4 linked regions of the Arabidopsis thaliana genome follow. The protein of the gene in region 1 interacts with the protein of each later gene in a pairwise test. Each region holds a gene or a part of one and is shown in the gene's direction. Other genes may lie near its edges.

Region 1 (6,748 bases):
TGTTACTGCACTGTGGGTCTTTTAGCTAAGTGAAGTAATAGAATTTTATTTTATTAATAGTATTAAACTACAATAACATATATATTCGTTTTTTAATTAAAAATAAATAAAAGAGAGTGACTAGTAACTACTCCTTCATTGTTTAGTGAATTATTCATATTATTTGATGTGATGTATACTTGTATTCTATAGTAATTTAACTCATTCTCCCAAATTGACTCTTAAACAAAAACATCAATTATAGATTCTGATAATTTTTTCGGCATTCAACAAAAATATCTTACAAAAGATCGACGAGTATAATTCAATACCATTAATTAACATAACAATTTGTGAGGTTAATTAATTACATTAGAGGTAGTTTACTTTGCAGTATCTTGATTGTGCTAAAGAAGAACAATTTCGAACGTGGAGGATTGTTCCATCCCCACATTTGCTAGTTGCTACCAACCGAGGGACTTTTCATCATAATTTACAAGTCTTCTTCCCATCTTTAGTGGGTATAAATAAATACAATTTTTTTTTTTTTTTTTTTTGTGCACCAAATAAATACAATGTTAATGAGAATAATTCACAACTCAAAACGTTTTTGAATAACTCTGTTTTATTTTTTCCACACTCAAGCATTTCATGAAGTCAATGGTCTCTTTTTGGGTCAACTAAGTCAGTGCTTAAGTTAAGTTACTCTGTAATATTCCGTAACATAACATGATCATGATCACTCTAATAACTTGCAAAATCATTTAAGTTCGGTCCGATTTGAACCGATCAATTTAAACTTGTATTTTAGAGGTTAAGCTCATCCATTATTTGATATCTTACACCATGAACGAACATTTGGTTAACCTAAAGAACACAAAATAAAATAAAAATTTCTAACATTTTTTGCTCGATTCTATTTGGTTTCGGTCCTAATAGTTTTGAAACAACTTAAAACAGGTCGCTTCCAGATTAATCCAAAAAGTTAACATCTCTAGATTAAAATTTATATATCAACTTCAAATTTTATGATTTTTTTGTAAGGTTCATTACGATTCGATCGATTAAAAATTTAAAACATTTTTTACTAAAGAAATACCAAAAAAATATTGAAAGTGTCATTTTCTTTCAATTCCATAAAACGAAAGGAACTCCTAATTTCCAAAATTTTGTTTATTCCACAGCTTTTTTAACATATCGCTCGCATTGCCACATTGGTCCAGACCTACTCCCCTTTTTATTTACAAGATTGCCACTTTAAAGAGTTGGATAATTAATTTAGTTTAAACTAAACATTTTTCTGCAACAATATAGTAGGAAAACAAAAAGCTAGAAGAAAAAAGAAAACAGTGAACGCACGCCTGAATGCATGTGATTGCCTACCCTACGTGAAGAAAAGACGATGCAATTACAGAAGTAAGAAAAACATTTTCTCCACCAATATACAATGACCCTTACTAATTATTACTATTTCAACAAAACGTTTCCTACGTAAGGAAGGCAACAGATTCATTTGATGTCATTTTTCAACGACAATAGACAAAAAAAAAGTAAAGCAATAATAAAGTAAAGTTGTACACTACATATATACTTTTTAAAAATTGTTGAAACACAAAATGTGTGCAAATTTATAACAGTGTATACAAAATGGATGTTCAACTACGTCAAAGACTATTCATGAAGAAAAACGGTCGTGACAAAATTTAGACAAATTAACAATATATTAAATAAAAACTTTTAAAATAATTTTAGTATTACAGAAACATTATTAGATAAATTCGCAATATTTTTGTTCTATTGAAAGAAAAACAAAAAAGAAAGAGTAAGGGATCATTACATTGATTTCACACATACAAGTGTCGGATTATCAGTGTCACGTGGTGTTTAAAATGTAGACATTTCACCATGTGGACTAATACATTCATAAATAATGCAGCCATCGACGACGACCATCAAGCAATTTTTATATGTGGAAAGTTTTTTCAAAAATTATTAGTAAGTGGACACGTCAGACAAAACAGAGAGTTGAAAAAAAAAAAACATAAGTGTAGAGAGAGCGAAAGACACAAGTGGAGCTGGTCGGAAGTTGGAAAGTTGGAAACAGCTTAGCCGCCCACGTCGGCCCTACAATTGATTCGACGTTGTTAAGATATAAAGCCCAATTATAATGTACTTAACTAAAAGGCTTTTACTTTAGGCCCATATGTAGATCTTTGTTTTCTTTTGTTAAAAGTTAAAACACCAATATCAATTAGTGCTTACATTATTCGAAAAATCATTACAAATTTACGTGTCATTTTAAATTGATAGTGGAAATAAATAAATAAATAAGACTAGGAATAATAATCGCAAGAAAATCTTCCCCACGTTAACGATGATCACAATTCACAAGTTCTTAGTCTTCCTTATTTATTTGTTGTTTGGCCAAATTTTTTTGGTCTTTGTTAAATTATAAAAATATAGATCTCTATGTATATAAAAATATGGGTAATATTAGAAACTAACTATGAAATGGAAAAGAATTGAGAGAATGACATTGTGTCAGAAAAGTTAGGTAAATAACATTTTCTGAAAAAGAGAAAATACAAAAATATCCTTGTGTTTACTTATTTTTACAATAATGCCATTGGCTTTAGTTATAAAGTTTATATGTATTTGTCTAAAATAGCATGATATATTTACAAAAATCATGCAATTCTTTAAAATACATACAGAATATATATACACGATATATATGTTTCTCTGAAATAATGTGTTTCTCAGAAATAGCACGAAATATTTATAAAAAGCATGCAATTCTCTTATAGATCGCGAAGTTTAAAAAAACATATAGAATTGTTACAATATTACATGGGTTTTTATTGGATAACATGACAAATATTTATTTATTTCATGAGTTTTTATTGGATAGCATGACAAATATTAATATATCAGTGTTAATAACATGTTTTGTTCTTAAAATACATGCATTTTAAAATCAGACATTTGTTTTAAAATCAAATCTAATCTCTTATATCACAACGACATTGACGGAAAATTCAGGTAAAAAGAGAAAATAAAGAATGAGAGATAGAGAGATTTCTATGGAAAAAGAAAGAGAGAACATGTAGGTGAACAAAATAAAGAGATATGATGATATATTTTATGAGAGGTGGTGAAGATTATTTTAGGAGAGGGAGAGAGAAATAGAAAAAGAAAATGACATGGTGAATCTGAAGAAGATGAATTGTGTTAAAGATGAAGAGAGAAAGAGAACTCCATGGCTAAAGTCTCGTAAAGAAGATGAAAAAGAAACAAAAGAAGGAAGAAGAAAGAGAAAGGCTAAAATAGACTAACTATTGCCAAAATTTCTGTAGCCGACAAATACTATTTGGTCCAAGGTTATTTTGTGTATTCTTTTGAAGTCAAAAGTTATTTCTTACATATACTCTAAAAATATAGCCGATACCAATTTTTCCACACATGGACTTCCTTTATTCCAAAAGTCAATAAAGTGTGACGTCATGATACTTACGCTTTAAAACATCGCATGATGATGTCATTAGCATCAATCTCCACCGTCCAATTTATTTAGTTGTTGACAATATCGACCGTCTAAGTTCCACACCGACGGCTATAAGAGTTTCATTATAAATTTTAGCAAAATAAAATCAGCAAATAATTTTTTCTTGACTAAGCTTAAACGACGCCGTTAACATTTTCTTCTGGCTAACATGAACAACTCTTTGAAGAAAGAAGAACGCGTAGAAGAAGATAACGGAAAATCTGACGGTAACAGAGGGAAACCGTCGACGGAAGTTGTTCGGACGGTAACGGAGGAAGAGGTGGATGAGTTTTTCAAGATATTACGGAGAGTACACGTGGCGACACGAACGGTTGCGAAAGTTAACGGCGGTGTTGCTGAGGGAGAGTTACCGTCTAAGAAGAGGAAACGGAGTCAGAATCTTGGGTTGAGAAACTCGTTGGATTGTAACGGCGTTCGAGACGGAGAATTCGATGAGATTAATCGGGTCGGGTTACAGGGTTTGGGTTTGGATCTGAACTGTAAACCGGAACCAGACAGCGTTAGTTTATCGTTGTAGACTTGTAGTCCTTCATGTTTTTCCCCTTCTTACAATAATCAATTTTTTTTTAACTACAATACTTTTGAAAAAAATGGTAAAAGAAGATTATTAACATGTTATCCAAATTTCAGATTCTTCAGTTTTATTTTATACGTCAAAAGAGAAGTTATATATTTGCAAAACTACAAGTCAAACAAAAGCTATTTAAGCGTTTGACGTTCCTAAACAACATAAATTTTACTAAAATCAATGTTTTAAAAAAGTGTTGATGGTAAAGATATCAATTGGGCCTTTGCCTGGCCCGTTTAGTAATATTGCAGAGTAGGTATGGGCCTGTATAAGGGAGTCCAAAAAAAGAGCGGGCATTGCGGGTTGGGTGCGTTTGGAACTTTGGATTGTGGATTAGTCATGGTTTATCTATTAATGTCTGCGGACTTGTGGACGACGCGCTTGTTCTTCTTCCTCTGTTTACGACTTACGAACATATGATCTCTCATCTCTAACAATGATGGAACCTAAAGCCAAGTACGATCGTCAACTCATGTATACTATGTTAGTCTCTTCGAACTCTACATTTGTATTATTCTATCGATCTTCGAACGAATCTTGTTGGGAGGAAATTTTATGAAGTAATCGTTGATTGATTAGGATTTTGAGGTGAAGTCAAGGGACTTTGGAAGAAGCGAGTATCTGTTTACTCAATTGTGGTCCTATTGGTTCCAATGCCTTGAAGAATCTCGTCCTTGGTGGTGTTGGTAGTATCACCATCGTTGAAGGATCCAAGGTTCTAATTGGAGACATTTGGAAACAATTTCATAGGTACTAAGTAATGACTAGTTTTTGATTTTTTTTGTTGCTATTTTTAGATGCTATTTGTGTAGTTAAATAGTTATGACATCTCTTTTTCGTCGTTGTTTGGTTATAGCTGGTGGAAGATTCAATGGTGAACCTAGATATTAACGATGGAGTAGACTGAACAGTTTGTGTTTGGTGATAACACAGAATTACAAAACTTGTGGAATAACCATTTATTACGGTCAAAGTCTCTTGTCTTCAAAGGCATGCAATAGAACAGAAGTTCTCCATAAGCGAAGGTTTCAGAGACGAGAACAACACTGTGTTTCAGAGACGAGAACAACACAGTGTGTTTCAGAGACAACTAGAACAGAACAGGATTGCGGGCCAGACCGTTAGACCAATGGACATTGCGAGGCGAATATGGGCTTCGATTGGTCGCATGTGGTCGTTGGCGGACCGGACCACCACTTATGGAAAAGAAGCACGGGCCATCACGGACCCCCCATTTGGTCGCGTGCTCGCCCGTCTGACATCCCTAGTTGATCGTCATCTAGATTTTAGACGTTTATGTGATATCTAAATAACCGTTTTGGCTGTCTAAAATTCCATAAGTTTTATTTTAGTTTATTTTTTAGTTTTCAACTATATAAATTTAAATTATAAGTTTTAGCTTTGTATATATTGTTTGTTTCCAACTATATAAATTTAAATTATAAGTTTTAGCTTTGTATATATTGTTTGTTTCCAACTATATCAATTTAAATTATAAGTTTTAGCTTTGTATATATTGTTTGCTATGAATTATAAATGGTTTTATCTAAGTTTTGTTTATAATTTCATATTTTTATTTTTCTAAGAGATAGTTTTCTATGAATTTTATTTATAATATAATATTTATAATATGTTATGTTGTAAATGTGTAGCCGCTTAAAATCTCCTAAATCATGATTAGACGTTCTAGGCGTAGATCACCACCTCTTAAGTAGCTAGTTAGATTTAGCAGATTATCCAGTTATCATGCAGATTAATTGTATTAGATAGATTTTGGTAAGATAGGTGAATTTAGCCTAATGCTTTTAAATTTATGTATTTTAAAATTAGTGAATACTGAATACTCATATTTCTTGCTTATGTATTTTGATTAATTTAAAATATACAATTTATTTCTATTAACTTGTTTTTATTATGTTATATTAATACAGAAATATATTTTATTTTTATTTGAAAACTATTTAAACCTCTAAAAAATCGTCTATCCACTAATTGACTAATTGTTCTAGCCCTTTAGGCATTAAGCAGAGAGTTATAGTCCATTTATTGTTTTCTTGACATTGGAAAATACTAATAATGCGTAATTATATTAAAGGGCTTTTGGACCTTGTAAGTTGTAGGTTGGCAGACGAAATTGGACAGAAATTTAGCGCAAGACGAGAATTGTGCAAGTGTGAATCACATCCATCCATTTTAATATGACGTGCTATCTCGTTCTTTCCTATGATACTTTAAGTTAATTGAATAAGTCAAAAGTGGATGATAAGATATAGAATTACTAACACGAAATGATATGATTGAAGCAAATTAACATGTCTTCTTTTTGTTTTATATACATAATTCTCAAATCTTTTTTTTCTTTTAAAATCTATTATATCTTTCTAACACAAACAATATATTAAACGAGTTAAAAGTCTAGTCATTCACAATAGTAGTAGTTGTGGACTTAGGTTGCTAGTCAAGCTAATCTTAATCGAGATATGTATTGGCATGACATATAGCTGTGTATCGAGATATGTACATAGACCTGCACGGCTTTATACATGTGCTGGAAAATCTGATATACAAGGTCTATCCAAAATTTGTCTTTTTTTTTATACGTAAATCTATTACAATTAGGGTCCAACTATTAGAGC
Region 2 (6,545 bases), 7.1 Mb from region 1:
TGTAAGAAGTCATTTACACAGTACCTCGGTAAGTGTTTGAGGGTTAAATATTTGTTGAATTTTTAACATCACACTAATTTAGAGTATAATCTAAATTATAAGGTATACGTATGAAATCATAGCTCAATGATGATAGAATTCGTTAATTATTCTCGTAAAAGTGAATATTTGATTTAAAATGAGTCAAAATATATTTGATTTGACGAATTCTAAAAGTGTTCCGCTTGAGTTATAGAAACATGCTCAAAATGATGGTGATGACTTTTTTTTAGTTCTTTATTTGAAAAGTCAGTTTGGAAATGAAAACAGTAAGGCTGACCAAACAATATACAGTATGTTATCCAACTCTTATCCGTTTTAAGAAAACAAAGTATGTGTAAGAGTCGGGTAATATGATATCAGGTTATTTCTAAACCATCTGTCTTGTAACCCATCATTTTACTTGGATATATTTTCTTACATACAAATAATTTATTATAATAGTTTAGACATGTCAATTGGACTAGTCCAGTCTGACAAAGTCCAGAAAATTCGAATATATTTTATTTAGTCTGGTTCGGTTAGTAAAAATTTTGAAATAAAAAAATTTGAACTTATATTTCAAGATCTGGTAATAACAGGGACAAGACTTTTCCAGGTTTTTTATGTTTTTCTTTCCAGAAAAAAACAAATTTATAATTTATAATATTTCTGAAAGATGGATATATGAACAAAACAAATCAGTTGAAATTTAAATAACCATGAAAGCCAGTTTATTTTCAAAAAAAAAGGTTTAAAATCAAAAAAAATAATCTAATTTTTTTATTTAAACTCATAACAAATAAAATATAAAATCAGAAGATTTTAATCTAGACAGTCGAGCCAAGATTTGTTTTTTAGATTTATAGTAAGGCACAATTGAAAAACTAGGTTTAGGGTTTTCAATACTATTAAAAAAAACAAAAACAAATATTCCAATTAAAGAAAAATATTAACAAAAGAAAAGTAAAAAAAAAAATTAAAATTTTTTTAGGCCGGCTTGAATCTGGTGGGATTAAGCCTCAAAAACTTTTTATCCCGAATGGGTTAGCTTAAGGGAATTTTCTGGATATATATTTTTAAGTCTGAATCTCTATTTTCAGAATTGATAGTCCGGGGAATTTGACCCTAAATGAAATATAGTTTGATAAATAAACAAATAGACAATATCTGAAGAACAAATTAACCGTCCAAAAAAAAATATGCGAACTCCTATCCAAACACCTAGTTTAAAAATAACAATATAATATTTTAAATAACAATGTTGGAATATCATTAATTTCTAAGGAAAAAAACTAAAACCTTAACTTTAAAAAAATTAAAATAGGATAAAATAGGACTATACTTGTACAGTTGTATCAGTAAATAATAATTTCTGTAAACTGCCAGAAGAAAGGTTTATTTTCCTTTTTTTAGTGGACCTATCAATTAATTATTCCAATATAACTTCTTTTTTTCAGGTCCACTAAATATATTTTCTATACTACATATTATATTACATGATAATATTTCATTCTCAAATATACCTATATAAATTTAAGATTTCTTCTATTTACCAATTAGTTTAATTATTAGTTTGTTACACCATTATTGTTTTCCATACATAACATAAATAGAAATAGAGTTTTCTGTAACGTTTCTATATAATCCAAGTGAAACAAACATATTTTCCACTTCCATTTACAAAAGAAAAAGAAAAAAAAAACAGAGAAAAATGGATTCGAAAAATGGAATTAACAACAGCCAAAAGGCAAGAAGGACTCCAAAAGACCGCCATTTGAAAATTGGTGGCCGTGATCGTCGCATTCGGATCCCGCCGAGTGTTGCTCCCCAACTATTTAGATTGACAAAAGAACTCGGCTTTAAAACCGATGGTGAAACTGTCAGTTGGCTCCTCCAGAATGCCGAGCCTGCCATTTTCGCAGCCACGGGACATGGTGTCACCACCACCTCCAATGAAGATATCCAGCCAAATAGGAATTTTCCTAGTTACACCTTTAATGGTGATAATATTAGTAATAACGTTTTCCCTTGTACGGTTGTAAATACTGGTCATCGTCAGATGGTGTTTCCGGTTTCTACAATGACAGATCATGCACCTTCAACTAATTACAGTACTATTAGTGATAATTACAATTCCACCTTTAATGGTAATGCTACCGCCAGTGATACAACATCAGCAGCAACAACAACAGCCACAACCACAGTTTGAGCTTGTGAAGGAGGAGACGGCGTCGCTGAGAAGGCCAATTTGGAGTCTTTAAAATAAATATTGGAGATTTAAGAGTGTTCAGTTCTGGACGTTTTAGTTCGTTTCTGTTTGCTTTTTCTTTCCTCTTCATGTTTTTCAGTTTGAGAGTTGAACTAGGGTTTGTTTTAGTTCGATCGGTATCCATTTGTCTTTTTTTCTTGTATGCTCATGTTTTTTTAAGATGAATAATAATACCTAAAATTAATTATAGATGTAATTTAAAACTGTTTGTCCATGTTTGAAGTTTAGTAGAGAATTTGATTTCAACAATGGATTAAATTAAACTCTTCACAACAAATTTGATTCATTTTTTCTTTTTTGGACACGAACAATTTCGTTGGTATTCTAGAATAAATAATTCTGTCATAATATTTACCGAAACATAACTTTTATGTACAGTTATTTATTTCCGTTTTCTAATTTGTCAAAATTCGTTTGTCTTTCGAACCTAAAGGTTCCAACGGTTATGAAAACATTAATTAAAAACGGATATCAAAAACTATAATATAAATAAATTAAAGAGATAATAAAAGGAACAATTGAGTAAGAATGTGGTTTTATATCTGTTAAAGAAATTTCCAGCTCACACTTAGCTGGACAATAATTATTTAAGATTTGTTTCTGTATTTAGCTTCATACATCTATTTTAATATTTCTTAATACACAGATATATATTTTAATATATATATATATATATTATTTTCAAGATTCTCAAGGAAAAAAAAAGAAAAAAAAAAGGAAGGAAAACTAAATCTAAAGAATAAGAAACTAATTTTTGTGTAAATAAAAATTACTTTAATAAACTTTTAATAGTTTTCCCTTAAATTCTTTTACTTTATAGATTGGTTAATATGTATTTAGAGAAAAATACTATTTAACCTTTATTTAGATTAAAAAAAAAAACTTGAGTAAGAAAATGGTTTAAAATTCTTAAAGAAAATTCCAGCTCACTTTAAGCTAGAAAAAGAGATTATATAGTTTATAGTATAAAAATAAATTTAATCATACCATGTTTAATAAAATTTGAAGAAAAACTTATTTTCTTTTTCCATGAATAACAAGATTTTTCTTAACAATTAAAATTTCTTTTAGCAACATATATTAATACTTTAGTTTTCTGTTTTTTTGTTGGACATGGGTTCCGCCCCATTCCAAAAAGCCCGGCCCAAATATAGTTAGGCCCATAAGAAAGAGACTTGCGTTTGGTCCGTTACACAAGCTCAGCCCATTAAGTATCGTCAATTTGCTGGGAGCAGAAAAGAAAAATCATCCCGAGTTCATGACCGCATATATCTTCCCTATAAAAGCGGAAAAACACTGTCGAGAAAGGATCCCGAATTTCACGCTGACACATATGTAGAGAGTACATGTAATCTCCTTCGTACAAGTTTCCCCATTGAGTTCCTAGGAAGCCTTTTTTTAATCGTTAGTACGTACGAACATCTTTCGAACCAAACGCCTTGTCCGTCATTCTTGCACCTTTATTCAAACGAGTTGGATACATTGTCTTCTCGGATTGTCCTTGTAAACTCGTACCTTCACCTTGTATAATCTTGTATTCGCCAAACCTAATTCGTCTTATAAGAGATTATCCGTCCTTCTCCTTAAACCTTTACATGAATTGTATGATTTGAGTATCAACAGTTTTTGTTTAGGGAACTACGGTTTCAGCTTCAAGCAACTCTGACGGTTCTAATGGTCATCGATGGCCAAAAAAGTGCAAGAAAGTATTTTTCAAAATAGAATTACTCAGTTATACATAGGGAACAAAAAAAAGATAATACAATAATCGAACATAATTAGACATTCTTAATAAAGCATTAAGAGGTTCAGATTTATAGAAGGATTGCCTCATATTCATAGGTTTTATTTTTATAATTTTTTTTTTCTTTAACATCTATATATTCATATTGATATCGTTTTCGCGATTTCTTTTGAGTTATCCACCACCACCACCTCCTCCATTATTTTCGCCTCCAGGTCCATAGTTGTAGAAATCTTGTCTTGGGATATAATGGTGATTCTCCACGCTGCTTCTTGGGTGCTCTATTTTCTCAGTAGAGTCTTCTTCTTTCCCTATGATCATCTCTCGGGACACTTTTTCGCTTTCTTGATTAGTTTCCCGGGGAATTATATTCCTTGCAGCCAAACATGAGCTTATAATGACCATCATCACCATAATAACAACCACAACATGCTTAGAGTTTATCCCCATATTGGTTTTATTATGAGCTGCAAAAGAAAGAAAGAATAGTCTTTACATAAACAGAACCTTGAAGATCTTAGTATATTGACATGAAATGAGTATAACTTACCTTTGCAACTAATCGTAACAAGCGTTGATGGGTTTAGTTAAGTACCCTTAAAGGGAAAAAGATAAGAGTTTAAGACATTGATATTTATACATGCAGGAGAATAGGGTTTTTGTTATGGTGGGTTGACTATTTGAGATCATATTTTAAAATTATACGATTTAGGTACGATGTGACCCCCGGTGCCTAGTGGTGAGACAATCACAAGTGGGAGAGGCCTCTTATTGGAGAATTAAATTTTTTCTTAAGAAGGAAAGAATTGTGATGACAAAATGATGAAGTTGGTTGAAAAAGGGTTGTCTATTATTGGCACTACGAATAGGGAAAACCCACGTTACTTTATGGATTAGCATTGTATTAAGTGGTGCTTTTACAAAAGTGTAAAAGTAACTAGATTTTATCCCGCGGTATACAATTTATCTTTTTAAAGTTAGTATAATATTTTTTTTGCAAATTGTATCTATTTATAATATATTTTTATTTTATAGTTTACAATTGTTATTAAGTAACGTCCTGCCAAACCCGTCCCGCCAAATCCGTCCCGTAAAAAAACCATTTATTTATATTAATGTTGATCTTATTAAAGATATGTTTATAAATCATTGTCTAAATATTTTTGTCGATGCGGGACGTTGAACCCACACATTTTTTGCTAATTGGTTAATATATGTTCATTTTTAAAATTTTGAATCATAAAATATGACGGAAAAATTAAGATTTTTTTAAACTCTATATATTATATAATGATGTTAAAAAATTGTAATATATCAAACTTTTTATAAGTTTAAATATTAATAATGTTTTATAAATTTTAAATATATAAATAATAATATTTAAAAAAATAATATTTTTGTTTATAAGGTAATGACATAATAACTCTAAAAGCAAGGATTTAGAAGATTTAAATCTTTAATTAAATATTTTCATTAATAAATAATTAATGTCAGTGACATGACATTGTAAATAAATTCAAATACAAAATTTATTTATTTAAACAAAAAAACGTTTAGTAAGAATAATATTTATTTAACAAAAAACTTTATTTTAAAATATTGTTAACAAATATGTTTATGCTAATTTTAAGGGATTGATTTGAAGTTTGGTAGGATTAAATTTGATTCATAATATGATTGACAATTTAAATCAAAAATTTAAAGTAAAATTAATTATTTTGGAAAAAAGATTTAATGCTAATGGCATTAGATTGTAAATAAGTCCAAGTGCAGGATTTATTTGCTAAAATGGCTGCAAAAATGTATATATAGATTAAAACTTTTCTAAAACACCTGAGTGATTACTATTCGTGCATAGGATACTTTTCGAATTGATTTTTTGAGATTTGCTCGGACTAATAGGTCGTCAAAGGAGGCATTATTTCCCATATTCCACCTCCCAAAGAACATATTCTAGTACGACATTTGTTACCGATCATCGGAGGATTAAAATCCATTTGTTCTCTGGTTGATATAATCGCTACCCTAATTGGTTCACTAAATATCCAGCAAAACGACATTTTCACCAACACGAGTTGAAGATGTGTTTTTGTATACTAGAAATGTCTATGAAGACCAAGTGTCGTTAGCTAAATTGGTAAAAACCCTGGGCGAAACTTAGAGGTCGCTGGTTCGAGTGACGCTTGGGACAAAATTAATATTACATGTCGTGGTTTCGGGCCTAGGAGGATTACGGGTTTCGGCCCAAAACCTCTTAGTATTCGAAAAAGAAAAAAAAATTGTCTATGAAATGACTTTGAGTTTTGCCCCTAAGAGACACTATAATGCGGATCCAATGGGCGGGACTAACAATGTATTGGTCCTTTCGAGCGGTCGATAAATTTTAACGTCTTGATCATAGAGTAATTTTGGTGAGACTTGTCTACATGTTGCTTCTAGATTGGAAAGAGGAAAATCACTCACATAATTACGATGAAATAGATTAGATATTCGTTTTCAGAAGTTTACTTT
Region 3 (8,575 bases), on another chromosome or scaffold:
AGATAGATGCTGAGCCCTGTAATTTCCAACAATGGCATTAGAATCGGAAGATGTTGTTATATGTTCCTTTGAGATTGTGGTGAATGTTGTTACTTACTGCAAACTTCTGAAGAGTAGCTTTTGATTCCAGATCAGCGTTTTTGTTCTGATCCCCAAAGTACTGAGCTGAAGATATGGACTTTGCGTTTGTGAACTTCTTTCTTGCTTCATCTGATTCTTCAACCTAGTAAGAGAAAAAGAAATGGTTTAGAAGAGGTTTGGAATTTCGATTTATTAATTTTGTTACTGAGAAATTATGTGTTTACTTGAGATTTTGAAGAGTTGGAGCTTGATTTCTTGGGAAAAGAACTGTCCATTCCAAAATCCGAAAAGAAGCTTGACGACTTTGGTGGAGCAACATGGTTAAGCACTTGTGTACCACCAACGCTTTGTCCTCCAGATTGCAGGTCGTCATTGTACTCAAACCGAGAGGCAAATGATGAACCAGCTGATGATTTGCTTTCCCCGTTATTTGTTGATGATACAGCGGGAATAACCGGTGCAACTTCTTCCGGTTTCTGCTCATAGAGATTGTCTTTTGGCTACATTTCACCAAAAACAAAATCCAATCTTTTAATCTGAACAAGAGAACAAAAACGTAAATGCTCCAAAAAAATACCCCTAAGACTTACCTTAGTAGTAAGCTTCCTTGCACCAAGACCACCAGTTTTTCCTGTCCTTTTAGCACCAATAGGTTTCTTAAACGTACTAGGCACAACTGTATTAGAAGCTTTAGGCGAAGAAGTAGCACTGGTAGCTTCATGTTTCGAAAGAGGTAACTCTTCCTTGACAGAATAAGAAGAAACCCCATTAGATACTTCCGGTAACTGAGAAGTAGCAACGGGAGATGACAGAAGACCAGAATTAGTTTCTTCCGCAATCGCTTTCGCAACTTCTTTAGCAAGAATCTGCCGATACAAATCAGCAGCTCTTGAAGTATACTTAGCTTCAATTTTGCCACCATCAGTCCATCCATGTTGCTTGAAGAAAACCTGAGCACGGTTGTTACCACCAAACATCATTGTCCTGAGCTGCTCCGGGCTCCAAGAGTCTAAATTCGTTGATCTATACAAAAACGGAAAAGGTAGCATCTTGAGAACGTAATGTGGCATTATTCAATATTATCTAGTCAATGAATCGATAATTTGAATGAGTCTAATTTCAAGACACTGGTGAAATTTTGAAGTCAACAATTCTGAAACCTTAAAACATAATCTGATGATTCAACCACACTAAAGTCAACGTAATGCTACACATTAGCCAACAATTCTGAACACCTGAGCACGGTTTAAGCTAATTCCCTTATAAAGGCCTCAAAAGCTTAAACCTTAGCCAAAATCTGAGCTAGAGTAATGCCGAAGAATTGGATCAGATGATGAATTGTTTACCTGACGAAGCTGATATGAACACCAAGATTCCGGTGAGTAGCTGAACAATCGATGCAGAGGAAAATCCCATATGTAACCGATGCCCAAGTTGGATTCTTCGCACTACAATCGAAGCAGACCTAAATTGGCAAATCAAAACCAAAATTAGCATAAATGAATCAAAGATCTAGTCAAACAACTCTCAGATCTAAACATACACAATATCAAATTGACGATACTCAAAGAAAGAGAAGAATTCAGAAAAAAATTTGATTACCTTGTTCTCAGATTTTGATTTGAGTTTTCTGAAAACAATGTTTTTGTCGGTAAGATTGTCAGCAGAAGAAGAAGCCATTGTAGATCAAATTGTTCAATTTGATCACCTCCTTGAAGAAATTTGAAAGATTTTTTAATTTGAAATCTTTCTTCTTCAAAATCTGTAAATCTAAAGGAAACAGTACTAACGTTTGATGGAAACATTTGATCTGACTAGACTGACGAAAACACCCTGAATAAACTCTAGAAATTACGAAAATGGCATTACGTAGAAACGACACGTAGTGTGTAAATTCCGTTTCTGAAGCAACATGGATGATATAAAACGGACGAAAGCTTATCATTTTCACCTTTTCTTAAACCTCAATTCAAAGATTACTTCCTAATTTGTCTAATCGTGTGTTATACATTTTTCGTATTAATATTATGTTTATCATATGGTTTAATACGTACAGGATTTGTTTTTAATATCTGAAGTTAACATGTATTAGTAAATTAAAATACGACTTTTTATAACTCCAGGTTTTCAAACTAACTAACGGTTTTCATTTTTGCCTTCTTTCCATAATATGTCTCACACATATTATATGCTAAAAGTTTCGCTATACTTGTTGTTGACCATACACTAAAAAATGTCAAATGTGAAATATTTGCGGGCTAGTTTTATTAACTACCCAAAATGTGTGAGGCCCAATATAAAGTAAAGCCCAGCTTAATTTGTTTTGTTTGCTTTTATGCGATTCCGAAATGTCACTGTACAGTAGACACTATAGTTTCGTCGGATATGAACATAGAGAGACCAACATTTTTGGGCATTTGCTCTCACTGAAAAAGAAAGCATATTATGAAATCTGGCCACTAAAAACACGAGACCCACACGACATAATGTGATTATTTTTGTGTGGTCGTATAATTTTCGTAATTAAATCTAATTCTGTTTTAATACTATACCTTTTATTTTCCTTTATGCTCTTGCGTCTCTTTCACCTTTGATATCAAAATCACCCATGTCTTTTTTTTGTTCTTTATCATTGCAAAAAGTTGTGTCCAATAACGAAGCCAACAAAAATATGTTTATAAGAAAATGTTAAACTACAAGTCTACAATATTTGCTTTATAGGTTTTGTATATAAATGTTGTATCCAAATCTTTGGTGTTAACACTCCCTTAATCCCTTTAAATCATATTTTCCTGCCTCAAAGAACAACTGCAATTCTACAAACTCATTGTTTAAATTAATTGATGCTACTTGCTTACAAGAATTAAATGATGGGATTAATCACAAGAAAAGCAGATATTGACACCAATACCAAAAGTGAGGGAGACAAGATCATTATTGTAAGTGAAATATCATTTTCATTCTTTAATTGTTCTTAATTATCAACTTTGATGTAAAAGGCTCCTTGACAAATTTGATCCGATTCTCTTACATAGATTAGTAATTTTCTTGTAAAACAATTACTATTCAGAAAAAAATTGTTTTCAATCAAGTTATGTATATAACCCAACTTCAGAAATAACTCAATCAATAATTCATATTTGGTGAAAATAAAAGTACTATTTCTTTTTCTTTAGAGTTAAAAAAAAAAAATGAATATAAACAGATTCCTTTTCCCGAAACAATCAAACCAAACACAAATATTTTGCTTAAAGAACTTACTTCTCTCCTCTGTCTCTCACCGGAAAAACAAAAAGTCTTCTCTTTTATAACTACGTCAGAGAACTGTTATGTCTCCGACGAATGTTCAAGTAACCGATTACCATCTCAACCAATCAAAAACGGATACAACAAATCTCTGGTCAACCGACGACGATGCATCGGTAATGGAAGCTTTCATCGGCGGCGGCTCCGATCATTCTTCTCTTTTTCCTCCACTTCCTCCTCCTCCTCTTCCTCAAGTCAACGAAGATAATCTCCAGCAACGTCTCCAAGCTTTAATCGAAGGAGCAAACGAGAACTGGACTTACGCCGTGTTCTGGCAATCATCTCACGGTTTCGCCGGAGAAGACAACAACAACAACAACACAGTGTTGTTAGGTTGGGGAGATGGTTATTACAAAGGAGAAGAAGAGAAGTCTAGAAAGAAGAAATCAAATCCAGCTAGTGCAGCTGAACAAGAGCATCGTAAGAGAGTGATTAGAGAGCTCAACTCTTTAATCTCCGGTGGTGTAGGAGGAGGAGATGAAGCTGGAGATGAAGAAGTTACAGATACTGAATGGTTCTTCTTAGTTTCAATGACACAGAGCTTTGTCAAGGGTACTGGTTTACCTGGTCAAGCTTTCTCAAATTCAGACACGATTTGGTTATCTGGTTCTAATGCTTTAGCTGGATCAAGTTGTGAGAGAGCTCGTCAAGGTCAGATTTATGGGTTACAAACAATGGTGTGTGTAGCGACAGAGAATGGTGTCGTTGAGCTTGGTTCGTCGGAGATTATTCATCAAAGTTCAGATCTTGTTGATAAAGTTGACACCTTTTTCAATTTTAACAATGGTGGTGGTGAATTTGGTTCTTGGGCGTTTAATTTGAATCCAGATCAAGGAGAGAATGATCCAGGTTTGTGGATTAGTGAACCTAATGGTGTTGACTCTGGTCTTGTAGCTGCTCCGGTGATGAATAATGGTGGAAATGACTCAACTTCTAATTCTGATTCTCAACCAATTTCTAAGCTTTGTAATGGAAGCTCTGTTGAAAACCCTAACCCTAAAGTTCTGAAATCTTGTGAAATGGTGAATTTCAAGAATGGGATTGAGAATGGTCAAGAAGAAGATAGTAGTAATAAGAAGAGATCACCGGTTTCGAATAATGAAGAAGGGATGCTTTCTTTTACCTCTGTTCTTCCATGTGACTCGAATCACTCTGATCTTGAAGCTTCAGTGGCTAAAGAAGCTGAGAGTAACAGAGTTGTGGTTGAACCGGAGAAGAAACCGAGGAAACGAGGGAGAAAACCGGCGAATGGAAGAGAAGAGCCTTTGAATCATGTAGAGGCAGAGAGACAGAGAAGAGAGAAGTTGAATCAGAGATTCTATTCTTTAAGAGCTGTGGTTCCTAATGTGTCTAAGATGGATAAAGCTTCTCTATTAGGAGATGCTATTTCGTATATCAGTGAGCTTAAGTCTAAGTTGCAAAAGGCTGAATCTGATAAAGAAGAGTTGCAGAAGCAGATTGATGTGATGAATAAAGAAGCGGGAAATGCGAAAAGTTCGGTAAAAGATCGAAAATGTTTGAATCAAGAATCGAGTGTGTTGATAGAGATGGAGGTTGATGTGAAGATTATTGGTTGGGATGCAATGATAAGGATTCAATGTAGTAAGAGGAATCATCCTGGTGCTAAGTTCATGGAAGCACTTAAGGAGTTGGATTTGGAAGTGAATCATGCGAGTTTATCGGTAGTGAATGATCTTATGATCCAACAAGCGACTGTGAAAATGGGGAATCAGTTTTTCACGCAAGATCAACTCAAGGTTGCTCTAACGGAGAAAGTTGGAGAATGTCCATGAATTGAAGTCAGCATCTTTAGGGCTAATACACCGGAGAATACTGCGAAAAGTCGAAAACAACGATCATAGTATAAGCCGCGGTAAAAAGTGTTAAACCTTTCACACAAGTTTCTCTAGTGAATGTAGTTGTAAACTCTATTGTGTAAGGGTAATTTTGTAGTACCCACTTGTTGCTATTGAATGCTTGTTAGAGAGGATTCTTAGTGTAGTATATGATTAGGTTGGGGTTTGTTGTTTCATGAGATAAATAAATGTGTTTGATCAATGGTTAAGTCTTTGGTTTGTTGGTGTATGTATGTAAATAAGGCTTTTGTTAGAAATAAGACAAATGGGACTGAAGTTGGAGTTTTTTGTTGTCTTTTGAGTTAAAGTTTGAGTATTTCACTTTCAAGTGAGTTTTTTGTGTTCATCATTTGGGACTAGTCATTGGGAAGTTGGCATCAAAAGAGGCATCTAATTTGTTAGGAACGAATATACCTACTTTTTTTTGTTTTCAATAGGGATAATTTAAATCAATCACAGCTATTTAGAGATTCCAATGTAGGACCTCAAAATTTATGTGGATGTTACATGATCATTATCGTTCTAAATAGTATTTTGAACCATAGATTACTTCAGAGTAATTAAGTTTGTCGCATAAATCATGATGCACAACATGCAAATGCTAAATGGATTTCTTGATATTGACAGAAGAAGTGAAACCACTAGAATAATACCCTTTAAAAAAATAAAAAAAAATCAATATATGTCATAAAGGTCCAAAATGGTGAAATCAAAATGAAACATGGGGATATAAACATAAGATGTCTTAAAAGGGTTGTGGGGGAGGGAAAGCGAGGTTATGAATCTTTGAAGAAAAAGTTAAAATCATACAAAAAAATCGTGGAGACATGTGTGGTCGATTATTAAAGAGATTTTTCTGCAACATATATTATTGTGTTTGTTTCCAAACATTTTAGCAATAATCTCCTCGAAAATGTGAGTGACAGTGCGAAGAGAACGTGTGAGTGATAAGAAGAAAGCATGCGCTTTTAAAATTATAGGGCACATTATCGCCAAATAAAAACAAAGAACGAAAGGAGACATTTATCATCTGTACATGTAATATTAACTATACTTTGTTTGATGATCGTTTTCTCATTCTGGATAACTTTAGATTAATTGTACGTAAAAGATGTACTAAATAGACTAATTCAGATTACAATTAGTTACCAAATGTACATTAAATAATGGCAATTTGATTACAATAGAGATTACAATTGGACTAGATTAAAACACTGTTTAGTGGCAGATTATTGACATAGTTATCATGCCGTAATAGTACGCATACATTCTAATGGAGTATTATAAAGATTTCAAGACGATCGAATATCCACCCCTTTGGTTTGCTAAATTTTCTTACCAATAGTATAATGTTGTTGCATGGTTGTCTGTGTCAAGAGTACTTTATTTGATGCTCCAAAGTGTGTGCGGATTTGGAATTTTTTAAACTGATCCATCACCCTTCATTTTGTATATATATATTTTAAAAGAATATAATATCAACAATTTGTTACAGATTTTACTTTTTAAAGGATAAAATCCATCGTCTCTGTTTGTTTTGAGATTTCTTTATTAAAGAAGTCCGTTTTTTTCTTAAGTTTGTTACGAAAAAGGAAAAATTAAATTTTGGATTTTCTTAAAACCTAAAACCCAAAAAGCCCAACAAAAGCTGGAAGTTTGAAACCATTCGAGCCTAGTAGCTATATGTAATATATTCATGTGTAATGAAGTAGCATGTGTCATGTGACATGGGCTGCCGAAAAGAAATTAGCTTATAACAAGGCTAGTCATTATTTAAAACGATATGATTCATTACATCTATCGTTTAAGAGAAATCAGATATATATATATATATACAAAGGCTTGATTCTTGAATGGACAAATTCAGTTTTAGCACGAGAGTTAGCGGAATAGCGTCAATCAACAAACTTAATGAATAGTTAGCAAATTCACAACAAAACATTTCCTGATGAGAGAGTACAAAATATTTCATTGCACGAACTTATTCTCGCAGATACGTCAATAGGACTGAGATGGAACAGGAGAAGTCTTTTGTTGCTTCTTAGAGGATTGTTGCTCCTTAGAGGATTGTTGCCTTGTCATACATAACATACATACTACGCAGTAGTACTTTATAAAAAAAAAACATACTACGCAGTACGCATTATTCATGCGAATAGCCAACATGTGAATACGCCAAACACCATAAGTTAAATACTCGGTATCTAAACCTTGGTGAGATCTTTCTTATAAATATAAGTCGAGACATCATTTATCAAAATCTACAAAAGGATATCACACAGAAAAAAAAAACACTTTTTAACACAAAACGTAATTAGGACATTACGCAACATCTAACGTGTCCAACCCTAATTGAGCGTCAAAAGGTTTTAGAAATTTCTAAATTATTATAGGCTATAATCTACTCCTTAGCAGTTTCAAATGTATGCACTACATTTCGTAAGGAATCACTGTCCATCTACTAGACTGCTCTCTAATTCTTCTCTTTAGTCATTGCTATCATCGTTTTGCGATGAAGATGACTTTGAAGACTCGAGCGAGGAGTGGTTTGTTGTCTTTGCCAAGAGAGCTGTGACCGCTATTGAGTCTTCCGTACATACAACAACATTTATTGAATCTTTCATTCATAACTAGATGAGTAAAAATACTTAGTTATATAATTGTATCATGCTATTGTTATTTACAACAATCGTCATTTCGACTAAATTTTTTGATTATCCCAATATTTGATATTATACATTTCTACCACCTAAATATATATTAGGTATTTGGCACATTGTCTCTAGGGAAAAGTCTAATTCGATATACCTACTTTGCTAATTAATTATCTGATAATTTAATAAACCATTAGACTTTCCATAACATGATAATTTCAACGTATAATTTGATATATAAATATTATTCAGATTTAGATCTCGTTGTCGTAACTAAAAAAATGAAAGAAAGATTTGACGTTAACGATGATAATGATTAAAGTAGGTGAGGATGCTCAAAATATCGATCTTCTAATTGGCTCAACCATCCATCATCAACTTCAAGACTTCAAGTACATGCAATTAGTAGTATTCCTTCATTTTCCACTTTTTGCGCAAATATAATACTACTAATTTTTCAATCTACCTTTGTGTCGGCGTTTAATAACCAAGTTGGCAACTTGCAACATTTAACCAAGCTGGCACAACTTGCACCAACATCATCATCACCTTTGCCTTAATTAGAAGATCTTCGTCTTAAGTTTGCAAATAGGAAATTAAAAATAGTACTATACAAAATATAAAAGTGGCCTTTCGCTATTGTCTCGATCCAGCTGAAATTCGATAATAAAATATACA
Region 4 (9,307 bases), on another chromosome or scaffold:
TTGGTAGGGATAGGAATATTTAATTTTGTTATATGGTTTTGTGCTTCTTAAAAGCTTAATGCAAACATTGTTATATGAATATATTTATAAGCAACAAATATATGGACAAAACACGTAAGATGTTACTATTGTTCAGTAACACGTATGTATGTTATTGAGATTATAAGTTTTCATTCATGTCCTAACTAGTCATTTTTGGTATCCTTTAAATCAGAATCTTCCCCTAACTATAGTACTAATTGATCCCAAAAAAGTGTGGGCCAAAAACTTTCTTCAGTGTTTATATATTGTAATTTAACTAAAAAAAATTATTAGTTAGTGTGATGAAACATTTAACAAAAGTATAACTAGAGTTTTTTTTCTTCTTTTAATTTCAATATATTATCTTAAAATTTAAAATTACTAAGGAAACTAAGAAAGTACTAAGATAACTAAGGAAATAAAAAGAAAGATAAATCTATGGAAAATGGAAATTACGTAAGTTAATTAGAAATTAAATCTGCTAAACAATGATAATCTTTTTTGTGCTAATTTTTATAAGAAAATAAATTGGCCAAAATGGTGAAATTGACTTGTGGATTATTATACAAGCTGGATGTTTATTAAAAAGAAAGAATTGTCAATTATGATAGAAACATTATTATATAATGAGTTGTTAATCTATTAGTAGAAAAAAAAACAATTAAAATCCAAAGATTGTTGGGTAAAAAAAAAAGTTGTTTCCTAAGTCTAGCAATTAAATTACTGTAGATTTGGTTAAAAGTCTAAAGATAAAGTTTTGGCTTAAGGTATCACAAGTAACATTAATCATGAAAGATTTTATCTTTTGGTTAATTTGTTTGTTTTAGGACTAGCGAAGAAAAAGGCAAATTTTGATACTTTCCTTAAACAAAGAAAGGATATATAAACACTTTATTCATCATAAGTTGTTCTCTACCGATCCTGATTTTTTCATTTCTCATTCAGTGATCGTGCTCATCTCTTTATTCCCGACAGGATCATGAGTTCTCCGGTGATAAATCAAGACATGATCCAAGAATTTCTTTCTTATCTTCCGGCGTCAAAAATCGGAAAATTCAGGCTCCTGAATAAAGAGTGCAACAAGAGAAGCTACGAGTCATGGTTTGTCAATCTTAATCTCCTTAGAACCAATCGTATTTCGGGATACTTCATACAACACTACATAGTAAAAGGACACGAACTTCGAACCAGTTTTGTCCATGAGAGGAGTGATTTACAAAACAATGGAGTCTCCATCGACTTTCTGCCACCCGGAATGATAAAGATCGAAGCTTGTGATGCAAGTCATGGGATATTGCTTTGTGTTAAGTATACAAAACCATCACGTGGATACATAGTCTTCAAACCAACCACTAAACAGTATCAGGTCATACCAAAGCCAGAAGTGAAGGGTTGGGATATGTCATTGGGTTTAGCGGTAATCGGATTGAACCCTTTCCGGTATAAAATACAAAGGCTTTCGCAGTCTCGGCGTATGTGTATGTCTCGGGGTATCTACCATTTGAATCACAGAACTTTTATGTGCGAAGTTTTCGATTCTGATTCGTTTACCTGGAAGAGATTAGAAAATTTGCGTCTACCAAAAACAGACAGATTAATTTTTTCCAACCCGATACAAGTTTCGGGGTTCTTGCATTGGATATCACGGAACAACAATGTGATCCGGTTTTGTCTCAAAACCGAAACTTGGTCCTTCTTCCATACTCCGAACTCTGATGTTTTCTCAGGATTAGTCAGATACGAAGGGAAGCTAGGTGCTATTCGTCAGTGGACAAACAAAGATCAAGAAGATGTTCACGAGTTATGGGTTTTAAAGAGCAGTTTTGAAAAGTCGTGGGTTAAAGTGAAAGATATTAAAAGCATTGGAGTAGATTTGATTACGTGGACTCCAAGCAACGACGTTGTATTGTTTCGTAGTAGTGATCGTGGTTGCCTCTACAACATAAACGCAGAGAAGTTGAATTTAGTTTATGCAAAAAAAGAGGGATCTGATTGTTCTTTCGTTTGTTTTCCGTTTTGTTCTGATTACGAGAGGGTTGATCTGAACGGAAGAAGCAACGGGCCGACACTTTAAAAAAAAAATAAAAAAAATGGGCCGACAAATGCAAACGTAGTTGACAAGGATCTCAAGTCTCAAGTCTCAATTGGCTCGCTCATTGTGGGGCATAAATATATCTAGTGATGTTTAATTGTTTTTTATAAGGTAAAAAGGAATATTGAATTTTGTTTCTTAGGTTTATGTAATAATACCAAACATTGTTTTATGAATATTTAATCTGATTTTTTGGCTAGTTATTTTATTATATCAAGGGTTCCTGTTTATAGTTGAAAACAGTTACTGTATAGAAAATAGTGTCCCAATTTTCTCTCTTAAATAATATATTAGTTAATAAAAGATATTTTAATATATTAGATATACAATAATATCTAAAGCAACACATATTTAGACACAACACGTAATATCTTACTATTGTTTACATATATTTATAGCTTACCAATATAACCCGTATCTATGTTTTATAAGCTTTTATACAATATATGTACGGTATGCTGTCCACGTATATATATTCTCCAAAAAAAACGCATGGTACACAAAATTTATTAAATATTTGGCAATTGGGTGTTTATCTAAAGTTTATCACAATATTTATCAACTATAATAGATGGTAGAAGATAAAAAAATTATATCAGATTGATTCAATTAAATTTTATAATATATCATTTTAAAAAATTAATTAAAAGAAAACTATTTCATAAAATTGTTCAAAAGATAATTAGTAAAATTAATTAAATATGTGATGCTATTGAGTTATAGAGAGTTATTGTAAATTTACTTAAAATCATACAAATCTTATCCTAATTTAACTTATCATTTAAGAAATACAAAAGTAAAAAACGCGGAAAGCAATAATTTATTTACCTTATTATAACTCCTATATAAAGTACTCTGTTTATTCAACATAATCTTACGTTGTTGTATTCATAGGCATCTTTAACCTATCTTTTCATTTTCTGATCTCGATCGTTTTCGATCCAACAAAATGAGTCTACCGGTGAGGAACCAAGAGGTGATTATGCAGATTCCTTCTTCTTCTCAGTTTCCAGCAACATCGAGTCCGGAAAACACCAATCAAGTGAAGGATGAGCCAAATTTGTTTAGACGTGTTATGAATTTGCTTTTACGTCGTAGTTATTGAAAAAGCTGATTTATCGCATGATTCAGAACGAGAAGTTGAAGGCAAATAACTAAAGAAGTCTTTTATATGTATACAATAATTGTTTTTAAATCAAATCCTAATTAAAAAAATATATTCATTATGACTTTCATGTTTTTAATGTAATTTATTCCTATATCTATAATGATTTTGTTGTGAAGAGCGTTTTCATTTGCTATAGAACAAGGAGAATAGTTCCAGGAAATATTCGACTTGATTTAATTATAGTGTAAACATGCTGAACACTGAAAATTACTTTTTCAATAAACGAAAAATATAATATACATTACAAAACTTATGTGAATAAAGCATGAAACTTAATATACGTTCCCTTTATCATTTTACTTCAAAGAAAATAAACAGAAATGTAACTTTCACATGTAAATCTAATTCTTAAATTTAAAAAATAATATTTATATATTTATATGAAAATAACGAACCGGATGAAAAATAAATTTTATATATTTATATCATCTCCAAATCTAGTTTGGTTCAGGGGCTTACCGAACCGGATTGAACTTCTCATATACAAAAATTAGCAACACAAAATGTCTCCGGTATAAATACTAACATTTATAACCCGAACCGGTTTAGCTTCCTGTTATATCTTTTTAAAAAAGATCTCTGACAAAGATTCCTTTCCTGGAAATTTACCGGTTTTGGTGAAATGTAAACCGTGGGACGAGGATGCTTCTTCATATCTCACCACCACTCTCGTTGACTTGACTTGGCTCTGCTCGTCAATGGTTATCTTCGATCTTTAACCAAATCCAGTTGATAAGGTCTCTTCGTTGATTAGCAGAGATCTCTTTAATTTGTGAATTTCAATTCATCGGAACCTGTTGATGGACACCACCATTGATGGATTCGCCGATTCTTATGAAATCAGCAGCACTAGTTTCGTCGCTACCGATAACACCGACTCCTCTATTGTTTATCTGGCCGCCGAACAAGTACTCACCGGACCTGATGTATCTGCTCTGCAATTGCTCTCCAACAGCTTCGAATCCGTCTTTGACTCGCCGGATGATTTCTACAGCGACGCTAAGCTTGTTCTCTCCGACGGCCGGGAAGTTTCTTTCCACCGGTGCGTTTTGTCAGCGAGAAGCTCTTTCTTCAAGAGCGCTTTAGCCGCCGCTAAGAAGGAGAAAGACTCCAACAACACCGCCGCCGTGAAGCTCGAGCTTAAGGAGATTGCCAAGGATTACGAAGTCGGTTTCGATTCGGTTGTGACTGTTTTGGCTTATGTTTACAGCAGCAGAGTGAGACCGCCGCCTAAAGGAGTTTCTGAATGCGCAGACGAGAATTGCTGCCACGTGGCTTGCCGGCCGGCGGTGGATTTCATGTTGGAGGTTCTCTATTTGGCTTTCATCTTCAAGATCCCTGAATTAATTACTCTCTATCAGGTAAAACACCATCTGCATTAAGCTATGGTTACACATTCATGAATATGTTCTTACTTGAGTACTTGTATTTGTATTTCAGAGGCACTTATTGGACGTTGTAGACAAAGTTGTTATAGAGGACACATTGGTTATACTCAAGCTTGCTAATATATGTGGTAAAGCTTGTATGAAGCTATTGGATAGATGTAAAGAGATTATTGTCAAGTCTAATGTAGATATGGTTAGTCTTGAAAAGTCATTGCCGGAAGAGCTTGTTAAAGAGATAATTGATAGACGTAAAGAGCTTGGTTTGGAGGTACCTAAAGTAAAGAAACATGTCTCGAATGTACATAAGGCACTTGACTCGGATGATATTGAGTTAGTCAAGTTGCTTTTGAAAGAGGATCACACCAATCTAGATGATGCGTGTGCTCTTCATTTCGCTGTTGCATATTGCAATGTGAAGACCGCAACAGATCTTTTAAAACTTGATCTTGCCGATGTCAACCATAGGAATCCGAGGGGATATACGGTGCTTCATGTTGCTGCGATGCGGAAGGAGCCACAATTGATACTATCTCTATTGGAAAAAGGTGCAAGTGCATCAGAAGCAACTTTGGAAGGTAGAACCGCACTCATGATCGCAAAACAAGCCACTATGGCGGTTGAATGTAATAATATCCCGGAGCAATGCAAGCATTCTCTCAAAGGCCGACTATGTGTAGAAATACTAGAGCAAGAAGACAAACGAGAACAAATTCCTAGAGATGTTCCTCCCTCTTTTGCAGTGGCGGCCGATGAATTGAAGATGACGCTGCTCGATCTTGAAAATAGAGGTATCTATCAAGTCTTATTTCTTATATGTTTGAATTAAATTTATGTCCTCTCTATTAGGAAACTGAGTGAACTAATGATAACTATTCTTTGTGTCGTCCACTGTTTAGTTGCACTTGCTCAACGTCTTTTTCCAACGGAAGCACAAGCTGCAATGGAGATCGCCGAAATGAAGGGAACATGTGAGTTCATAGTGACTAGCCTCGAGCCTGACCGTCTCACTGGTACGAAGAGAACATCACCGGGTGTAAAGATAGCACCTTTCAGAATCCTAGAAGAGCATCAAAGTAGACTAAAAGCGCTTTCTAAAACCGGTATGGATTCTCACCCACTTCATCGGACTCCTTATCACAAAAAACAAAACTAAATGATCTTTAAACATGGTTTTGTTACTTGCTGTCTGACCTTGTTTTTTTATCATCAGTGGAACTCGGGAAACGATTCTTCCCGCGCTGTTCGGCAGTGCTCGACCAGATTATGAACTGTGAGGACTTGACTCAACTGGCTTGCGGAGAAGACGACACTGCTGAGAAACGACTACAAAAGAAGCAAAGGTACATGGAAATACAAGAGACACTAAAGAAGGCCTTTAGTGAGGACAATTTGGAATTAGGAAATTCGTCCCTGACAGATTCGACTTCTTCCACATCGAAATCAACCGGTGGAAAGAGGTCTAACCGTAAACTCTCTCATCGTCGTCGGTGAGACTCTTGCCTCTTAGTGTAATTTTTGCTGTACCATATAATTCTGTTTTCATGATGACTGTAACTGTTTATGTCTATCGTTGGCGTCATATAGTTTCGCTCTTCGTTTTGCATCCTGTGTATTATTGCTGCAGGTGTGCTTCAAACAAATGTTGTAACAATTTGAACCAATGGTATACAGATTTGTAATATATATTTATGTACATCAACAATAACCCATGATGGTGTTACAGAGTTGCTAGAATCAAAGTGTGAAATAATGTCAAATTGTTCATCTGTTGGATATTTTCCACCAAGAACCAAAAGAATATTCAAGTTCCCTGAACTTCTGGCAACATTCATGTTATATGTATCTTCCTAATTCTTCCTTTAACCTTTTGTAACTCGAATTACACAGCAAGTTAGTTTCAGGTCTAGAGATAAGAGAACACTGAGTGGGCGTGTAAGGTGCATTCTCCTAGTCAGCTCCATTGCATCCAACATTTGTGAATGACACAAGTTAACAATCCTTTGCACCATTTCTGGGTGCATACATGGAAACTTCTTCGATTGAAACTTCCCACATGTGCAGGTGCGTTCGCTGTCACTGATAGACCAAGAGACTGAAAGCTTTCACAAATTGCCCTCAAATCTTCTGTTTCTATCGTCATGACTCCATATCTCCGACCACTGGTCATGAGCCAGAGCCCACTGATTTTGAGGGAATTGGGCTAACCATTTCCGAGCTTCTGAGTCCTTCTTTTTGATGTCCTTTATGTAGGAATCAAATTCTTCCTTCTGACTTGTGGATCCAGCCTGCTTCACAAGGCTCACCAGGTTGTAGTCTCCAAAAATATCATGGAATTGTAAGCAAAAACAATCCAGACAGAACCTGTGATAGACCCAAGGTTCTTGCCACAGTGATCCGGGTTCGTTAATAACAGCAACTATGTCCGGGTGAGGACTGGAGACGAGGCAAACGTCTTTCCTTTGTGTTACCTTCTCTCTGATATTAGTGAGAAACCAACGCCAACTATCAGTGGACACTTCTTTGGTAAGCGGAAAGGCAAGCGGGAAAAAGCAATCATCAGCGTCGAGTCCTGAGGAAATCATCAATTTCATAGGGTACTTGCCGTTCAAGTCTTTTGAATCCACTATGATCAGAGGTCTACAGTGTTGAAACCCTTCAATGGACTGTGGAAACGCCCAAAACGCGCCACCGAAGGATGCAAATTCAGGATTAGGGAAAAGCTCATATTGCAGTCCACAAGTAGCCCATTAGATGAGTGAAATGCAGCCAATTAGTTTAGGCAATACTCTGAAACTCTGATCTTTGATTACTTCCTGTTCTGCTGCCCGCAGCTTTGAAGTTTTAAGCATGTCACCAAACTTTTCAACTCTGCTGTTAGAGTGGGTTGTACCCTGATCAGACACTCAATCTCTTCTGCTGCAAATTACAAGTTGAAGTTTTCCGGCTTAATAGAACAACAAGTATGTGGACCAACTACACTTAGTTATCTTAACAAGTCCATGTTCTTCTATTCAATCTGCCCGACGCGACCAATTGCATTTCCATCTGATGCATTTAAACGTATACTCGTCCTTCTCAATCTCTTGTACTACACACTTTTGCTGCCCTCTAATGGAACACCAGTCCACCGCCTTCTTCAGCTCATCCCTATCTTTAAAACACAACCCTACACGCAATTCATGATCATCAATCCACAAACTAGACAAAGTACACTGTTTTGAAGCACTCGAATCAACAACACCTTTACTTAATAAGCACGCATACGGTAATACCTCTAAGCCTGGCACATTCAAACCTTGTGTGCATCATCTGAACCCGAGTTTTTATCCGTTATTTCTCCATCCCCACCTCCACGAGTGCTACCATTTCCGAAGTCAGAATTTTCCTCGTCTTCAATCCACCCGTTACTGTTACCCACTCCCTGAACCTCTAAACCATTATCTCTCTCTACTTTCACAGATGCATGTGACACATAATCAGTAGCTTCTTGGGGTTGTTGCGTCCTCTGTGTATTCGAGGAACTAGCGGGATATTCTATTACGGATGAACAAGCAGCATGATCAGTAACATTATCAGATGTCGATTTCACTTCCAAATACAACTCCACATTTCTTATAGAAGGATGATAACTTGGAACTTCAAGCATAGTCTCCAAACTAGTGTCGTTCACTACATGAAGAAGTAGATAGATAAAGAGATCCGGTGAAACAACTACAGGATACCTACCAAAATATATTGAACACTGATTTCTGCAGCTGCAATCCAAAAATTGGATAAAGACCATTCAACAATGTACTTAACGCAGTCTTTTGCCTAACCTTGACCGTTTTAGGAGTGGATCCTTCATAGTAAACACCATCAGGACCATACTTGGTAGAACCTTTCTCTCAAGGTTTCCATCGCCATGACCATAACAGTCCTGCAGTGAATTCTAAGAAAAATGTAAAAAATTTTGGCCTAAACTCATAATTCTTAACATACGAAACCATGGAGAACTCCATGTCTAAAAAATAAAGGCTAAAGCTTTTTGGCGACAGAAGCAGATAAATCCATTCAAAACACATAAACTCTAAACAATAAACAGTGATACTCAATACTAAGACTTGTAAAGGTCTACGTAACTCAAAACTGGAGAATTTCAGATCGGGTGTGGCAGAGAAGCTTGGATTTTGCAAGAACTTCAACTAATTTCGCCTGTCGCTGAGGACTTCTCCGGTGACGAAGCCACTTGTCACCGATGACGAAGACACCACCTAACTTTTTCATATGCCATAAATGTCACACCTATTCGAACAAAAATAAAATAAAGTACAATTGGGCCGAAAGAAGAAAGCCCGTTTTGAGCCCGTTTATAAACTAGCAAAACATTCAATTTCATTCCCGCCAAAAATTAACTTTCAATGTCCCAATGATTTAATATTTTGTTTTTAAGAATCAATATATGCATTAGAATTAGAAAATTGGTAAGTACGAGTTGTAGAAAAGAACTAGTTTTTGCAGGATGATTTTTGTCCACATTAAGCCTTTGCAGATAAGAAACTTGATTAAACAAGCTAAAAACACACATACACATACTATTTGTATATTACGAGAGAGGCATGGATGCGAGAGTAAGAGTAAAAGAAAGCTACAATAAGA

What was found.
Region 2: the proteins of NIMIN-2 (region 1) and TCP16 interact in binary tests that used the Arabidopsis thaliana proteins (3 or more experiments, as listed by UniProt).
Region 3: the proteins of NIMIN-2 (region 1) and MYC4 interact in binary tests that used the Arabidopsis thaliana proteins (3 or more experiments, as listed by UniProt).
Region 4: the proteins of NIMIN-2 (region 1) and NPR1 interact in binary tests that used the Arabidopsis thaliana proteins (3 or more experiments, as listed by UniProt).

What each region holds. Positions count from the first base shown.
Region 1 is NC_003074.8:9,467,834-9,474,581, reverse strand, and holds NIMIN-2 (NIM1-interacting 2), read left to right. Parts: upstream 1-3,542; 5' UTR 3,543-3,692; coding exon 3,693-4,061; 3' UTR 4,062-4,225; downstream 4,226-6,748. Other genes in the region: AT3G25880 (NAD(P)-binding Rossmann-fold superfamily protein), read left to right, coding at 4,549-4,595, 4,707-4,862, 4,969-4,990.
Region 2 is NC_003074.8:16,529,447-16,535,991, forward strand, and holds TCP16 (TCP domain protein 16), read left to right. Parts: upstream 1-1,732; coding exon 1,733-2,230; downstream 2,231-6,545. Other genes in the region: AT3G45160 (Putative membrane lipoprotein), read right to left, coding at 4,209-4,484. UniProt on the Arabidopsis thaliana protein: Required during early processes in pollen development.
Region 3 is NC_003075.7:9,930,307-9,938,881, reverse strand, and holds MYC4 (Basic helix-loop-helix (bHLH) DNA-binding family protein), read left to right. Parts: upstream 1-3,196; 5' UTR 3,197-3,410; coding exon 3,411-5,180; 3' UTR 5,181-5,556; downstream 5,557-8,575. Other genes in the region: AGD8 (ARF-GAP domain 8), read right to left, coding at 1-16, 98-223, 306-581, 672-1,104, 1,428-1,546, 1,684-1,761. UniProt on the Arabidopsis thaliana protein: Transcription factor involved in jasmonic acid (JA) gene regulation. With MYC2 and MYC3, controls additively subsets of JA-dependent responses. Can form complexes with all known glucosinolate-related MYBs to regulate glucosinolate biosynthesis.
Region 4 is NC_003070.9:23,850,182-23,859,488, reverse strand, and holds NPR1 (regulatory protein (NPR1)), read left to right. Parts: upstream 1-3,830; 5' UTR 3,831-4,081; coding exon 4,082-4,642; intron 4,643-4,721; coding exon 4,722-5,457; intron 5,458-5,565; coding exon 5,566-5,769; intron 5,770-5,879; coding exon 5,880-6,160; 3' UTR 6,161-6,741; downstream 6,742-9,307. Other genes in the region: AT1G64290 (F-box protein-like protein), read left to right, coding at 1,001-2,095. UniProt on the Arabidopsis thaliana protein: Salicylic acid (SA)-binding substrate-specific adapter of an E3 ubiquitin-protein ligase complex (CUL3-RBX1-BTB) which mediates the ubiquitination and subsequent proteasomal degradation of target proteins.